Linked DNA regions of Lepisosteus oculatus. The protein of the gene in region 2 binds, or shares a complex with, the protein of the main gene of each other region. Links are inferred from orthologs where the notes say so. Each region holds a gene or a part of one and is shown on either strand. Other genes may lie near its edges.

Evidence for each region. Proteins that work in one complex are often made in the same cells at the same time.
Region 1: the proteins of voltage-dependent L-type calcium channel subunit alpha-1S (region 2) and SH3 and cysteine-rich domain-containing protein 2 are in contact, whole or in part, in a crystal structure (PDB 6B27), measured with the Homo sapiens proteins. The link is inferred for Lepisosteus oculatus from reciprocal best matches to the Homo sapiens genes CACNA1S and STAC2. Residues at the interface, in NP_000060.2 of Homo sapiens: Glu749, Pro750, Glu751, Ile752, Pro753, Ser755, Pro756, Arg757, Pro758; in NP_945344.1 of Homo sapiens: Tyr301, Lys302, Phe303, Gln306, Glu307, Asp310, Asn326, Asp328, Trp329, Phe340, Pro342, Asn344, Phe345.

The regions. Positions count from the first base shown.
Region 1 is NC_090723.1:5,904,354-5,912,095, forward strand, and holds the start of SH3 and cysteine-rich domain-containing protein 2, read left to right. Parts: upstream 1-4,708; 5' UTR 4,709-5,619; coding exon 5,620-5,709; intron 5,710-7,259; exon of another isoform or gene 7,260-7,742. UniProt on the Homo sapiens protein: Plays a redundant role in promoting the expression of calcium channel CACNA1S at the cell membrane, and thereby contributes to increased channel activity. Slows down the inactivation rate of the calcium channel CACNA1C.
Region 2 is NC_090700.1:36,990,355-36,998,268, forward strand, and holds the start of voltage-dependent L-type calcium channel subunit alpha-1S, read right to left. Parts: upstream 3,085-7,914; 5' UTR 2,785-3,084; coding exon 2,588-2,784; intron 1-2,587. Other genes in the region: achaete-scute homolog 5, read right to left, coding at 7,086-7,730. UniProt on the Homo sapiens protein: Pore-forming, alpha-1S subunit of the voltage-gated calcium channel that gives rise to L-type calcium currents in skeletal muscle.

The DNA of each region.
Region 1 (7,742 bases), on a different chromosome or scaffold from region 2:
CAAGGCTCCGAGCCCCTCAGAAACAACGCAGATAACAAGAAACTGCAAAACTGAAATTCTGTTTGTCCTACACAGGAGTCTCAGAACACCATCCTCACATCATCTCCCTCAGTCAGACTCACAAGGTGGAGATCAGTCCTGCATCTTCATCCGAAAGGAAGAACGGCCTGGAATTCACGGATGCACTCATGGATATAATCTCGGCAAGCACGCAAATCCTCGCACAAGCCTTTCACTCGCTCACACACAGATGCACATAACTGTCTCTCTCACATACACTCCTGCAGTATTTTCTACACTTTTAGATTTAGATGAAAAGCCATTTGGTTTATTGAAACCCCAGTTTTAATGGTGGGTCACCCCCACTTTGTCCGTTCATCAGGAGTTACTATCTTTGCATGCACACAGAGGAAATGGAACAGCGAATCCCAGGAAGACTATCTTACCGGTAAAATCACTTCAAAGTGATGAATAAAAAATGAATCCATCTGACTGAATAGCAAACTAAAGTGCTCTATTTAAAACTCATTCTTTTCCTTTGTCTTCTCTTTTCCCGTCTCCTTTTTACAACATCAAGGATGAGTCCTGCACCTCCATCCACTCATTTATTCCATCCACTTCAGGGCCGTTGGAGAGCCAGAGCTGGCAAGCAACAGGCACAGGGCAGGACACACACAGATTCACACTCACACCAGGCCCAATTACCCCAAAATGCCAGTTAAGCTGCCAGTATGTTTTTGGACTGTGTGACATGAATATGGAGAAAACATACAAACTCCACCCAGACAGCACCCCAGGTCTGGAACTGGACCCAGGGACCCAGCCCTGTGAGGCAGCAGTGCTAACTCCATCTGATCCTATGTGCTCCCAGAACAGGCTCTGGGTTGCTGCTATCCTCATCAGCAGTCTCCAGATAATGGCAGGATGGATGATATTTGGTTTATTAGCTGAGTAAGTAAGCTCAGTAAAATGTCCCTTGAAAGAAGGATGCATTAAATGTAATAGACAGCAAGCATAACAACACAGTCAGTGATAATTGATGAATGCAATTTATGCTGACATTCATGTATAAATAGCAACACAGCGCTCTTTGATTTGAATACAAGGGACAGCTTCAGCGGTGTTATGAACACGCGCTCCTCTTTCTTCACTCTTATTTGTCTGCTAGCACGCTGGCCCAGTTTTATGCACAATCATTTCGTTTCATCACACTTTGGAGGAGACGGTCGACGGTATGCGTCTCACGTCTGCACCCGAATCAGTGCTGTATCGAGGCGCTCCCCTATTCTTTGCATGCTCATTTGCATGTAAATGTCTCAGTGTTTGCAATGAGCGAAGAGGGTGTGAGCTGGTCTTTGCAGGGGGTTGCAGTACTTCACATTTGCAGAACTCAGGAAGCAGATGAAATGCAGATGTCTGTGTTTTGCTCTTTATTTTTTAGATACTCGATAGTCTTCAAAAAATATGTAATGCACTGTGATGTTTTGCAATTCAGGAGTTTCATATGATTCCTTTACCCAATCCCACACCCCACAAAATGAAGGCGGAGGGTACTTTTAGAGGCATCAACTGCTACCAGCAGCAGAGATGAATATTGTCTTTTACTTTTGTTGCTTATTTTGAAACATGATTCTCAGCAGATCCTTTGAAGCTTGGTATTGCATAAAAGTATGGATGCTTTTATTCTATGTCTCAAGTCATTGTGCAACCCGCGAATACTTGAGATAGAAGAAAACTGGCTAAATTGAGTTTACCTCATAGTACAGGGATGAGCATTCCTGGTGCTGGAGGGCAGGTGTCCATCCCAGCTCCTAAATCAGCTCATTATTAGTTTATCCAGTTTAACTGCTTCTTCCAGTTCATCAGCTGCTTTGAAAAGACCTAGAAATCCTGCAGACAGACTGGCCCTCCAGCACCAGGAGAGCCCACCCCTGATATATTAAGATAGTGTAAGTGAACTTTGTCTCAGGGATGAGTCAACACCTTCATGGACCATCATAGGGAGATATTGGGCTACTCTGGAAAATGTCACCATCATTTGCAGACATTAATAATAATTGCTTACACTTATATAGCGCTTTTCTGGACACTCCACTCAAAGCGCTGTACAGGTAATAAGGATGTGTAGTTTTGGGGTGAAGACATCTGTTTGCAATTTTAGAGAGATTTTTTTTAAATCAGGGTGATGCTTTAGAATTCAATGCACAAGAAAGCACACAATTCAGAATGACCTTGTGTCCATTAAATCCTTCAGCAGCGACACTGTGATCTCTGAAAAGCCCGAGATGAAACAGTGGCAGACGTCACTGCAAAATAGGCATCTGTGTGCATACGTGCACAGACGCAGATCAAGGACTTCTCATTAAAACGCTTCTGTTAAACATTCAGGTGACCTGGAGTGAGCCTTTGCTGTGTGTGTTGGCACGCCGCTGGTTGTGATGGCTTTTCCTCTGTAAATAAACGAGCAGCGCTGGAGGAGAGAGACTGTGGTTGCACAGCGGACTGATAAGGGGCTTCAGAGAAGGGTGTTATGCTAATTTGAGGGGAAGAGGATGATATATTTCAAAGGCTTTGTTGCTGCTTTGCCGGGCTGGCTGTCTAATCCCACGCGTTTCTGTGTGCTGTTGTATCTCGACAGTGCTACACAGAGCACACGCACACACATGACAGGGGCTTTAATTAGAAACTGCGCCATTCCACCAGCCCGTGCTGGAGGAGGCGGCGGTGGTCCTGCATGTCCCCAGGAGACACGCCGTGCGCCCACACCTGGCCACTACCGGCTCTGCCCCAGCCGCCCTGCGAGCGAGCCCTCCGGCACCCCCAGTCCCAGCATACCTGAGAGCCACACAGTGTCCCCCCCTCACGCTGCCCCCCTCCAGAGAGACACACGGAGCCTGGAGTGCTCTAGTTCTTTGAGATATGTGTGTTACCACCACCCCCCTGTACCACAATGCCCCCCCCCTCCGAGAATATGAAAGGCTGGCACCAGCTAAGACAGGAGTTAGTGTTCAAAAATAGCTCTGCTTGGAAGACAGCGAGCGTGGTGGTGAGCAGTATGGCCTCTTTCTGTAATAACCCAGACTGCTTCGCCTTCTCCAGAGCAGTAGACAGCCGCCACACGCTTCCTGTCCGTTCAAGTCTCCTGCTAACATGACTCCCCCGCGGGGGAACGTTCTTACACACAGGCCCGAAGTTTGGTCTTCGGCGGCCCTCGGCACTTTCACTCCGAAACGGGCAAAAAGAAGGGTCAACGCCAATTGAATGACGTCGGCTGACATGACGCACTCCAGACTCTTGTACTGCTACGCCGCGAGGATGGAGCGAGACGAGCGACCATCGCTTCGATACTTCTAGTTTCTAGAACAGCCGCTAGAGAGCGTGTTGTTCTTGACTGGGCGCACCTAGAGTCGACCGCAAAACCTGTTGTTGTCCACTCGTTTTTCGTGGGTCACTAGTGCTTCCCTCCCAGTCCCACGGGAGAAAATGCTGGAATCTCGGGAAGGAGATGGGTGCCCGCTGGAACGTTTTCCCAAAGCACTTTTCCCAAGCTGTTGTACAAATTGAGTTGAATTTTTTCTCTCTGGTTATTTACGGTAATGTCGAGTCACTCCGTTATGCCAGAGTCCGGTCCGCTGCCGTGGAGTGTGCAGGATCGTGGGTATATTCCTCCCACTATCGCGCAGAGAGACGAGAACAGCCCATAGAGGCTGATCAAAGCAGCGCTGTCAAAGACCTCGCCCCTAACCCCCTCCTTGACTGGAGATGCACGGGACCGAATACAACCTGCTGAGGCAACGAGCTTGTATGGAGTGACCGACCGCTGTCTGCACCGCGCCATGCTTAAAACAAAATTGCTAAGAGCGCGTCAAGAGGCTGTCTGGTCGAGCAGTTCAGCGGGGGGTTAGACTAGGAATAAACCTATTACTTGTTCCTGGGCAGTTCAGAAGGCGCCGTTTGCGTGCGCACACCTGTAATTCTCGTTCAATAGTTTCTATAGTTAGCGCGCGACTGAGTCATCGGGCACATTAAAGCGCCCCTCCGCGCGGGGGGGGGGGGGGGGGGGCGTGCTGGCGCGCGAGGCGCGTTGCTAGTAACGCCTGGGGTGCGATCAGATCCTCTCCGGAGGCACGTTTGGAGCTGCTGCTGGGGGTCTTCCTCACGGGAAAGGTGGTGAAGTTCACGCTCGGGTCTAGTAGGGCTGTTTTCATGCTGTAAAGGTGGGCATTAGGAATTATTACTTTGGCAAAGGCCGTTCTGCAGCTCACTGAGAACAAAATGTGATCAAGCCGAAGACGGTTTCTCTCTCTTTTTTTTAATGGGCAAGGTCATTAAATATCACGAGTCTTACATGACGTGCGAGTTTCTCCTAAAGCGGGTTTTCGAGATGAGGGTTGTACGTCGGTGTTCACGCCCCTGAAAACCATTTGATCATTCGCCGATAGGAAATTCATTTCCCATTCTCTGGGATGCAGTCCGCAACACGCGGCAATGCTGCCTGGCTTGATTCTTGCGCTCCTGTGTGTGTAGATCCATTTGGTTAAGGACCCGTTGTCTATCAGCGTTGTCTTACCAGGCCCTTTGACTTTGAAAGTGTAGTATGTTGTTTCTGCAGTTCGTATTGGTGCCAAAATGCATTTAATTTCAATAATGATAATCAACCGTGCGTACGAATGTTTGCACAAACAAGGAAGTCATATTTTTTATTTGTGATTCTCCTATTACTGTCACAATATTCTTTCTAGAACAGAGCACGTCTCCTTTTCTTGGGGCCACCTTAAATGGGTACCAAAACATCTACCTGTGCCCAGAGACACGCCCCGGCGCGGCGACGTCACACACAGCGGCCAATCACCGTGCGGACGGCGGTCGATATTAGCATATCAAAGAGAACCCCGCTCCAATCACAGAGCCGCGGAAGCGTGGTCGGGCATTCTATTAAATCAAACTTGTAGCAAAGGCGCGTGTGAGGCTGCAGATCTGGCGTGCTCCACCAGTACAGCACCTGGGCTAGATTAAGGGCGAACTGCAAAGTCGATAGCGCCACCGAGGCCAGTATATCTGAGAGCGCTGGAATTAAAAGCACTGATCTGACTGAGTCGCAGGACAGGCGCACTTCACTGGGATTCAGACCACTGCGGCTTGGTTTTCTTGTGTTTCTGAAAAAGAGAGTTGCTACCAGTGTTACTATCCTCTGCGGTGTGTACGTTTCAATGCATGGGGGCTACATAACACCAAAGGCAATGCTGACGCGTGTGGCAGTTTGCAAAAAGTGACTGCCGCGCAAGAAACTGAAAAAATAATTGATTTTTAAAAACAATATATATATATACGAGCATCGCTAACCTGAACAGAACGAAATGGTACATTAAGTGAAAGAGACAATACGGTATAAGCCGTAATTCAGTAGTATTGTCATTCCCTGCGAAGAGAATCGTCAATATGCTTTGCGAATAAAAAGGAGGATTTGACCCACTTGCACTCAGCAGGCTCAGCCGGATACCGCTTCCTGACTGACTCGCTCGCGGGCGCGGCACGAGCCGGGCCGCCGGCCAGCCTCCAGCGCGAGCGCGGCGCAGAACCGTCCGGGACGCGAGCAGCGAGAGCCGGGACCCCGGAGCGATGACGGAGAACAACGAGAAGGAGAACGAGCCCCAGAACCGGGATCTCCAGCGCTCCCCCGGCACCGTGTCGGTCCAGCCCGAGTCCAAGGTAAGACCTGCCCCTCCCGCCGCCGCCGCCGCCCCCCAGGGCGAGACGCGGACAGGTTCTGATCACCTGTCGAAGCCCGATAATAGGCCACTGTCGCCAGAAGGCGTATGACACAAGCGACACGACCCCGGTGAGAATGCATGACCCCCCTTGTCTTTATGGTCGTGACACATCCAAGTCATCTTTGTGACCAGCTTTTGTCGGTTGTTTTTTTTTGGTATAGGCTCTGTAAATATGGCGTCCTGTAAAATGACATTTGTCCGATTTGAAACGGGAGAATAAAACTTGATGAGTGGACCTCAGATAGCGGGTTTCTATAATTATTGTTTTAGAAGGGTGTCTTGATAGGAATGTAAATGAGAGATTAACACTTAAACCTGCATCTACGCCTTTGCTGGCGTTCCCCGGATGACATCAGTTGCGGGCTGTTCTGACTGGAGTGGACCTCTCTGGTTCTAACAGTCTGTGAACAGCGCGGGTTTCGAAGCAGCAGAGCGTGCCTCGCGGACTCAGGTGGCCCGGCATACCTGTCACGGTGCTCATGCAATATTGTCTGAGTCCTGTCCATGCAAAAGCCTTTTAAAGTAAAGGTTTTAAAGTCTTTCCACGGGAACTGGAATCCGTCGGCGATACCGTGCCTAGAACATATTAGCAGACAGGTAGAGCGATAATCTTGTCGAAGGAGTGAAGTCGCGGTAACACATTGGCAGGTGAACTGTCGCTGGCGGTGATCCGTGCTGTCAGATCACAGCGGCGAGGAATGAATCTGAAGGCTTCCGAATACTCCCACTGGGATACAGACTATCATGCCTATTTGATTGAGATTCTACTCAAATATGTTTTATTTTATTTTCGCCTTCTCATTTTCTCTTAAATTGCACGCCCGTGGCAGGGTATTAAGAGGCACCGCAGACCTCTAGCGTTATTAAGAGAAACGTGTCTTTTGGAAGTCTGTGTATAAATTCTAGTGGTTTGTGGGCTGGGCTCATTCAGGCGGAACCCGGGGAGTTCAGGTGTGCCCCGTGTCTTTCTCGGGAGTCCTGGTTTGTAAAACACACCGCTGATTCCCCAGTACAGGTCAATGTAGATATTGTAACATGCAACCGAAAATAGTATCAGTCGTCTTTTTCAGACCTGAAGTATTAGACTACTCTGTGGTTGGATAAATATATTTTGACGTTAAATTCCACAGCTACTCAGTCGATTGTCAGTGTATTGGGGTCACGATGTTCTTATACCGAAAGGTACAGTATAACTTCACGAAACGATTCCTTGTTATGGAATAATACTGTTTTCCTCTGTAGCCATGTGCGTCACTGTATAACTGAACTGACTTTCCCAGGTAATGACATTCTGTTCCGTTAAAGCCTGTATCTTCGAAACGTCGCTACACTCAGGAAGCAGTGAGTAATTCTCCTCCAGCGTGGAGAGCTGCCTGTCATTTGAAATAAACGAGCTCGGGCTAGATATTTATACCGTTTCCCTTGACATCTATATTTTAATCCTCACGACACAGGACGTCAGACAGCAGCTCGCTGACGTCAAAGAAAGGTCTCTTCCTTGACGTATGAACTACGCTGGATCTTTGAGCTGCCCCCAGCTCATTGGGAGTGCTGTGACTTCTTTGTTTGAATGAGCGCATAGGAGGGGTCATCGGCTGAATTGACCTCTATGGACCGGGCTGGCAGACCACGAGCAGCACGCGCGCCGGAAGCGATGGGGCCTCGGCACAATCCAAGATTAGTGTGGATGGGGGTCTGTTAAATGACCGCGAATTACTGTGGGGTCTGTGTGATCGCCACGAAACTACAACACCTGGGCGTGCACGCGTGCTCTTCTGTCACCGATTCACTCTGCGCGCCCAGCCTCGTCTCCTGCGCGTCATTGCGCCTGCGGGCGGGGCTGTGTTGTTCATCTGGTAGTGGAGCCAGACAAGGCGCTATATTCCGGGGAACGCAAGCACCTGACACGCTGCTTTTGAACTGCGCAAACCTGCACAGACTGAGCAAAAAAAAAGAACGAGACCGGGGCGC
Region 2 (7,914 bases):
AGCGAGATGTGGCAGCTTGTACATCAAAACAGGCTCGATGCACTTTCTCTTCTAGAGGGCTGATAGTCATGTGTCCTGACATAAATGTTTGCCTTTTGCCTTAAACTAGACGATTCTCTAGAACTCAGGTCTCTGATTTTTCCAATCTAATTAGTCATTCAAACAATTAACCTAATTATTTCTAAATTGGACCTATACAAATTTTTCATAGAGTGTTTTACAGTTGATTACGCAAGCTATCAATTCTCCAATCACTTTGCTTAAAGGTTACTTATAAAACACTTCCTACCCTGGTTGAAAAGCATTACATTTTTGTAGCTAATACAACAATTACACCAATTATGTAACCGAGAACATGGGTGGGACAAAATCCAGAAGACACTAGACTCTCCAGGTATTGAGTTTGAGACCCCAGCTCTAGAACATCTTAACACTTACTAAAGACATTGAGGTTAAGTGTTAAATAGCATTACAAGTTTAAGCATTGAGACACATAGTTTATCCATCCATTATGAGTAACTGCTTTGTGCTGAGGGCAGGTACAAGGGGCAAGGCTCACACACATGTGAGCAAGTGAGAAAGTTAGAGATAGTAACCTCAATATCATGGCTTTGGATTGTGGGAGAAAACCTGTGTGGACATGGATGGAACATATGAACTCCACACAAAAAGCCCCCCAGGCAACAATGAAGCCAACAAAGAACAAAGAACAAAGATCTGTGAGGCAGCAGGTTTTACCATCACATCACTGTGGTGCTTCAAGCTTACTGTGTTGTATTGCAAGGTGTTTGACTTTGGTGCAGTGCTGTCGTCTGTGGGACTATGACTCAATACCTCTTAAGTCAATTGTGTGGAATTGATTAACCGTCATTTGTAACTTTTCTTATGTTCTCTTGTTGGTGGATGTTTAGACATTTCTACTATTTCAGTCATTATGTAATGGGGAGATGGGTCGTTGTCTTGTGGCATGACTATCGAATCTCTGCGGTGCCACAAGAGGGGCTTTTCTTAAGCAAACTCAGAAGGTCTTGAACTTTCATTTCAATGTAAACTATAGGGAACGATGCTTTGTGAAACTGTGCCATCCAAATTGATGTCTATTGAAGGCATCCTGACATGCACAAATGCGCAGGATGCAGGAGCTCCATGAATCACTTTGAGGCCGACACCTTGATCACGCCTGATTTACAGTTCAAGACACCTTGCCGCTGCAAGGCTTTGGTAGTGGAACCTTGGCCCTCTCCCAAGTTACTCAGTCATTTGGACCACTACAGGTGTCAGTGTTTTCATACTACAGGGGCCGCTCAACTGGTCTCCCTTTCAGCCAGAAGGGGGTGCTGGAATTAAAATTCCCCCTGCCAGCAGAGAGTGGTGTCTGTTTTTAGCCTGTGACGCGAGCCAACAGCTGCAGTGCCCCAGAATATCATTGTGTCGTTTAAATATATATGCATTAAAAAAACACCTAAATTTCTATCATCAGCTTCGATCATTGGGAGCACGTTTCTCCCGTATTTGGCTCCTTGACTAGCTGCCAAGCGCATTATCCCATCTTGGAAAAATGCTGTTTTCAAAAGGCTCTCTCCTCTGATGTTTCTAGAAAATTATTCAGTTTCTGGAAGTGCCTATGGGTTAACCTAACCTTTGACCCAGGGTGAATATAATTGTTTTTTTTTTAAGTTTTGACATTAATCAGTGAACCCAGGAGTAAGAACTAGAATTTTCATCTTTACCAACAAGAAGAAAGGTCTCAAGTCTCGATTCACATTTTAGGAACATTATGCGCCTTCGCTAACATAAGACTCTTGAAGCAGTAAACATGTCCCACTGCCAAACTGAAAACCTCTCAGAACCAAAACTGCTTTCTTAAGCCTGTGCTAACAAATGAATAATCCTTGTGCCTGACTGGTTTTAAACTGCTCACACTTGTAGGTCGTAATGTATCCAGAAATATCTCTGCATCTAGAAATGAGAAGCAACTCCACTGAGAACGCCGGTGTCCTGTCCCATGATTAATCGCGAACTTTCCAAACCAAATTTCGGAAAAAGCTACTTAACAGAAGAATCTTTCTTTTGGTCACAGTTCCAAATCCAGCCATTTAAAGATGGAAAAATATGAACAATTGTCTATGAACTGCACTTGGAATACAGGTATAGACTATGAACTATTCAAAAGCCAGCGTTGTCTCATGTTATTTTTTCTCTTTAATACAAAAGCCCTTTGCTGTAAGATTATTGGGAAGTTGAATCTGCGCAACGCCATATAAACAACTCATGACCATGTGAAGAAACTGATCAACCCTTTTAAATCCAAGGGTGTAGGGCTCCTCATAAACACAGCTAGAGAGAGCCAGCCCTGCTTTCTTTGACTAGCCAAACACAAAGTTTCCCGTTGCATAAATGAAGACATGACAAAGACAGCAGTCCCAACTACCAACAATCTGTAGCTTCCTGCCCTCAGAGTGACTTACTGACTTTTCATTCCGGTTTGAGGGCTGGCCATGCTCTTAGCCGCTGGCCTCTCTTTTGCTCAGCTGGCCCCCGAGCTGGCCGTCCACGCGCCTCGCCGAGCTCGAGCCCCGAAGGATACTTCCACTCCACGATGCTGATGCAGGCTTTGCGGAAGGGGTTCTTCAGGGTCAGGCAGCACAGCGAGCGCGGGGGCCGGGGGTTGCCGCCGGTGGCTTGAAGTTTCTTCAGTTTCTCCTTCTGCTTTCTCCTCAGGGTCTCGCTGTCCATGATGATGGAGGCGGCAGGTCCCACCGCGTTGGACTCCGCCGTAGCCATCCTGGGGGCAGACCAAGAGCCGTGTCCCGACGGTGACGGTGTGTGAGGCGAGGACCCAGTAATCCTTCCCGCTGTAATCCTGGTAAGCCCGGGTTCGCCTGTTCCCCCTCACTCCTTTATTTTTCTCCTTCCTTCCCGGGACCAGCAGGCACACACTCACACACACACCCCCCCTCGCCTCCGCCTGCTCTCCCTCTCACTCTCTCTCGCTCAGCGGAGAGTGGAGTGCCTTTCTGCTGAGCTGGGTTTCTCAGAGGGTAAAACTACACCAGGCAGAAAGCAGCAGGAGGAGCAGTTGCCTCTGCGGCCTGAGCCGGGCCAGCATGGTTTAAATATAGACTGTGAGCGATGTCTCGGCAGTGGGGGGTGGGTGGGGTGGCGATGGGGCAGCGTAAGCAGAGCAGGGAGGCAGAGAGGCGCAGGGGCCGCCGAATAGCCTGTGGGCCCTGAGGCAGCAGAAAAGTAGGAAAAAGAAGTGCAGCTGTCGTCGGCTCATCCCACTTGTAGCTCCGAGCTCTCGGAGCAGAGCCGGGAGGGCGAGGGGGGAGGAAGTGGAGCTGGGGGAAAGGAGAAGGGGAGGCATGCTGAGAGCTGTTAAACAGCAGCAGCGGAGGGGACGGCACGTTTCGATGCCTGTCTTCAGTGACACAGTGCAGATGGTGGGAGTGTTTATAACAGGCCTGTTAGCGAGACAGCAGAGTGGGGTGGCAGGGAGTTTTAGGTGGCACACCGAGAAGCGACGAAGCGTGGAAGCGAGTTTCAGGAGCTTTATTTAAACATTTACTCCTCCTGAGCACAACAAACTGCTGTGCTAATATACGGTTCTGCAAATTTGCCAAAATCGTGTGCTCCATTTCAAGACTCCCAAATCAGCTAATCCAGTTTACAGCTTTTTCAAAGTTGGTCATTTAAACCTTGGTTTTGTGATGAAGTGTTCCAACAAAACTAGACAAAATTAATCTTCAATATAGAATCCGGTAATTATTTTTTAATCTTTAACAATGATAGAGGTATGCATTTATTAAACCTACAACACTGAGAGCTCCTGTGAGGCCTCAACCAGAAGTTTTCTAATGACACTGCCTGGCTGCCATCTGATAATAACCAGAGCCCAAACAAACTACAGATTTCTTAATGATGATAACACTAATTCATGTGGTCACGCTTGTGTTGCTGGTATTCCCTGCAGTGTTGCATTCTGTAACTAACAATGTATTATGCTATTTCAGTCTTATTTCGGAAAGTATAAATGTTGCATAAATCAGAGTTCAGTTTATTTGTCAAATGCATGAAATGCTTTTAAGTGCAATGGAATGCTTATATAAATTCATATAAGCAGAACAGTCATTTAACATCGGTAATATAAAAAAATAAATTTGCAGTTTATGAAACATCAGGGTACTGACTTCACTTACAGTCCTTATGGTCCAGGTGGAATGTGCAGGTGAAGAGTCTCTGACTGTGCAATGGCTCCACCTAGTGGTTCACAGGGATGTGCAAGTGAGGCAGTACTAGAGATACTGCACTAGAGAGGGACAGCTCTAGTTTCTGAGTGCTACATTCTTAGGATTCCTAAAACCACCAGTGGCTGAAGATCTTTGAAAAGTGTTAAACTAATCAGGTACGGCCTATACAAAAGTTCATTGCTCCAGTACTGGAGAGATGCAGTCCAGCAGCAGGAAAAACTGGGGAAAGGTGTTAAATTGCAGAAACAGTTTCCCTCCAGAACTGGGATTGAGTTTATAACTGTGCATCACATAATTAGGTTGTGTAAATCTGACAGATCAAAAACAGTGTGTGTCCAGTAGAACTATATGTATGTACTTATGCATTAGTAGCAAAAAATGCATTAATTGCTGTAGTAATCAAAGAGCTAAACACAGTATATCAAGATGGTAGTCATATTTAAAAGAACTATAATCATGGTGAAGCATCTCTTTGAAAAAAAAAATAAAATAAATGTTCCTTGAAGCACAAACACACAGTTTTCATTTTTACTTTTTATTAGAAAGTTTTCCATCATACATCATTGTTGGGCTAGGGTCTAATGCCTCTTACAAGTTGAAGGGTGCTACACAGAGTCTAGGATAAAGTGCAAAGCAGTATCAGTAAAACTGGTTACAAACTGTCATTTAAAGAACAAACTTTGACACACGGCTCTAGTGGTACAGTGCTGTCAACATGGCAATAAGATCAAGATTGAAAGATGATCACAAACACACACAACACTAATCCTGCTATTTGGTATGAACTGTGTAAGGATGGTCAAACAGGAAAGACCTCAGTGGTTTTGCAGTCACAGATGACCTTGAAACATCAAGGGCAGTTGCTGAGAAGGGGATTCGCACTTTGATTTACAGAAAGTCTCCAAAACCATTTCACTAGCAATAACATCAACCATGAATTAAGGTACCATTCTACCTTACCATTATAGGTATATTTGGAAGTGAATTAAAATCTGAAACTTGTGACTTGGATTACTGTATATCAACTAAGGCTTCAATTATTATCCAATTCGGGTGGGCTGGAATGAAAACCAGGAGATGTGTATGGTCACCAGGACCAGGATTGGGAACAACAGTTATAGATCCACATTCCGCCTTACTATGTCTGTAAAGGCCAGGAAAGGCAAGCACCTTTACATTTCTTTCTGGAAGTCTCTGTTTTGTCCCAGGTTCTGTAAATGTTCCAGCTGAATTACTGTTTACGGTCTATCATCTTATAGACAAACTGTCACATCATAGCATTATAATACATACGTGTTTCTGAGCTTAAACTAGCTCAAAAATTAAAACTCTTTCCTAAGAAAACTAAATTGGGTAATTTCAAGTAAAATTACATTTTTTTTCAGAAACGTATAAGAACACAGTGTCATGTTTTTTACAGCTCAGCAAATACAGTCTGCAGGAAAAGGTTCAATGCAGTTCATTAAAGTAGTTTGGAGACATCATCAAGCACTACAGAAAGGCTGTAAATGGTTTTTAGATTTATGACAGATGTGTGATTTAATTTTTCCCTTCATGTCTTACCTAAACTTACCTTCAGTCATGATCTCTCCACCCCTAAGACACTATGAGCAGTGTTAAAAACTACAGTTGAAATACTTCTGCTTCCTAAAATGTTTTAGCTTTCAATATCGCTCAGGGACTGTTATGAATGGAATGACCAAAAAACCTGTGGCCCACAAAGTCTCTGAAGTCAGCCTTGACTTTTGCAATCCAGTTGTCTGGGGTGCTGTATTAAACTGAAATGTGAGAAGAAATTTGAAACCAGTGATGTCCACAGTCCATGTTGTCTGAACCTCGGGATTACACTGATCTATTGAAATATCGAATGGACGTGCCTTCCATGACTCACATAGATCTTGGAGTGGGTTGTGATGCTCAAGAACTTGATAGCTTCTGGTTCTGTGTGGTGGATGATGCCAGCCTCATTGGGATTTTTAAAATCAGAGTACCCTGACTTTTGTTTTGGTTGTCAATGTGCTGAACCTTTAGTTAGACGATTGACAAGGATAAAGACCTTACCAGAGCTGCTCATTCATTGGTCCAGTGCTCATCCTGGTTTCCACAACGTCATGGACTAGTTAGGACCCACCCACCGAGAAGGGATGCTGGTCTGTTGCAGGGATCAGCCCCAGCAACACTCACCTCTCTAGAACAGCAGGGTGTCATGTGGGGACTCAAACCAACAGCCTGCCACTCATGAGCCCAAAGGTTTCCCCCTTGAGCATGCCACTCCCTGCATCATAGCTGGGGGTTAAAAGGTAGCATGAGCCCCTCCTGTAGAGGTCCTGACCAGCTGGCATTCAAACAGAGTCGACACATCGCTAAGAATGGTTACAATGAGAGAGTGTCATTGCCACTTGTTTCTGTATATCTTTAATTGCTCATCTATCAGGAGTTATTTAGACCACTGTGGTTGAGCAGTAATTCTAAATTGTTGACGTATCACATTTGCCACATTTCATGGAAATAATACACAGAAAGGAGAGTATTTCTCAAATCAAGATGGGCATCAAAAACAGTTAAAATCAAGCGGATGATTGATTTATGTTCAACTACTTTATCTAATTAAGAAATCGGTTGGATCAAAAACCAGGAGTGAGAGGGACACTCCAGGAACAGGATTAGGAAACCCTCATTAATTTGTGGTAGTTTTATCCCTCTGCCCGTGTTATGGCTTGTCGGTCTGCATCCCGCCACAGTCAGAGCTGGTTCGTCTCTAGCAGCTTCAGGCGGGCCTGTTCTCCCCCTACTCCGCCTTCAGGCCTCAAGCCTGCAGTCAGGGCCCGGCCCTCTCTAGCTCAGCGACTCCTCGGACTCGCAGTACGGAGAGTCGGAGGAGGAGGAATTCTGGGATTCCCCGTCGCTGTTGCAGTCCCTCTTGACGCCTGCCTCGGCCGGGGTGGGAGTGGCATTTCTGGGGCCCTTGCCGCTCCTCTCCTCTGCTTCGGCGCCCGCCTGGGCCCCCCGGCTCACCAGATCCTGCAGGTACTTGATGTAGCGGATGGCGGCCCGCAGCGTCTCCACCTTGCTCAGCCGCTTCTCGGACACGGCGCCGGGCAGGTGGTCCCTCAGCCTGGCATAGCCCTCATTGACGCACTTGACGCGCTGCCTCTCGCGCTCGTTGCGCTTCTGGATGAAGGCGGGCTCGAAGGGGCAGTCGTACACCCCGAAGTGTCCGTGGAAAGGCACGTAGGGGAACAAGGCACCCCCGTAGGACGCCTCATAGTAGCTGGGGTCCATGTTGGCCGGGTACAGAAGGAAGGGCACATGAGCAAGAGTGTCTCCGGGTCCAGCAGGGGGGTGGCAGCGGTGGTGGGCGTGGTGGTGGTGCTCTGAGTGTGAGTGACCACCAGGGGGCGCTATGCCATATTGCACACAGCTCCCTGGCATCATGCCGGGTCTGCGCTCCATTAAGGCATGAGAGAAGCTGGCATTCATCTCTGTGGTGGCAGAAGAGGTGATGAGGGGCTGCAAAATGCAGGCAGACAGTCATAGAATGTCTTGATCTCACTGAAACCCCCAGTGAAGGTGCAAAAGATCAGTTAATAAGTTAATAGTGTTTCCTAAAATTCCTTTATGTATATTTTATTCTGCTAAAGGAATGTTTAAATGCTCTCCTGCC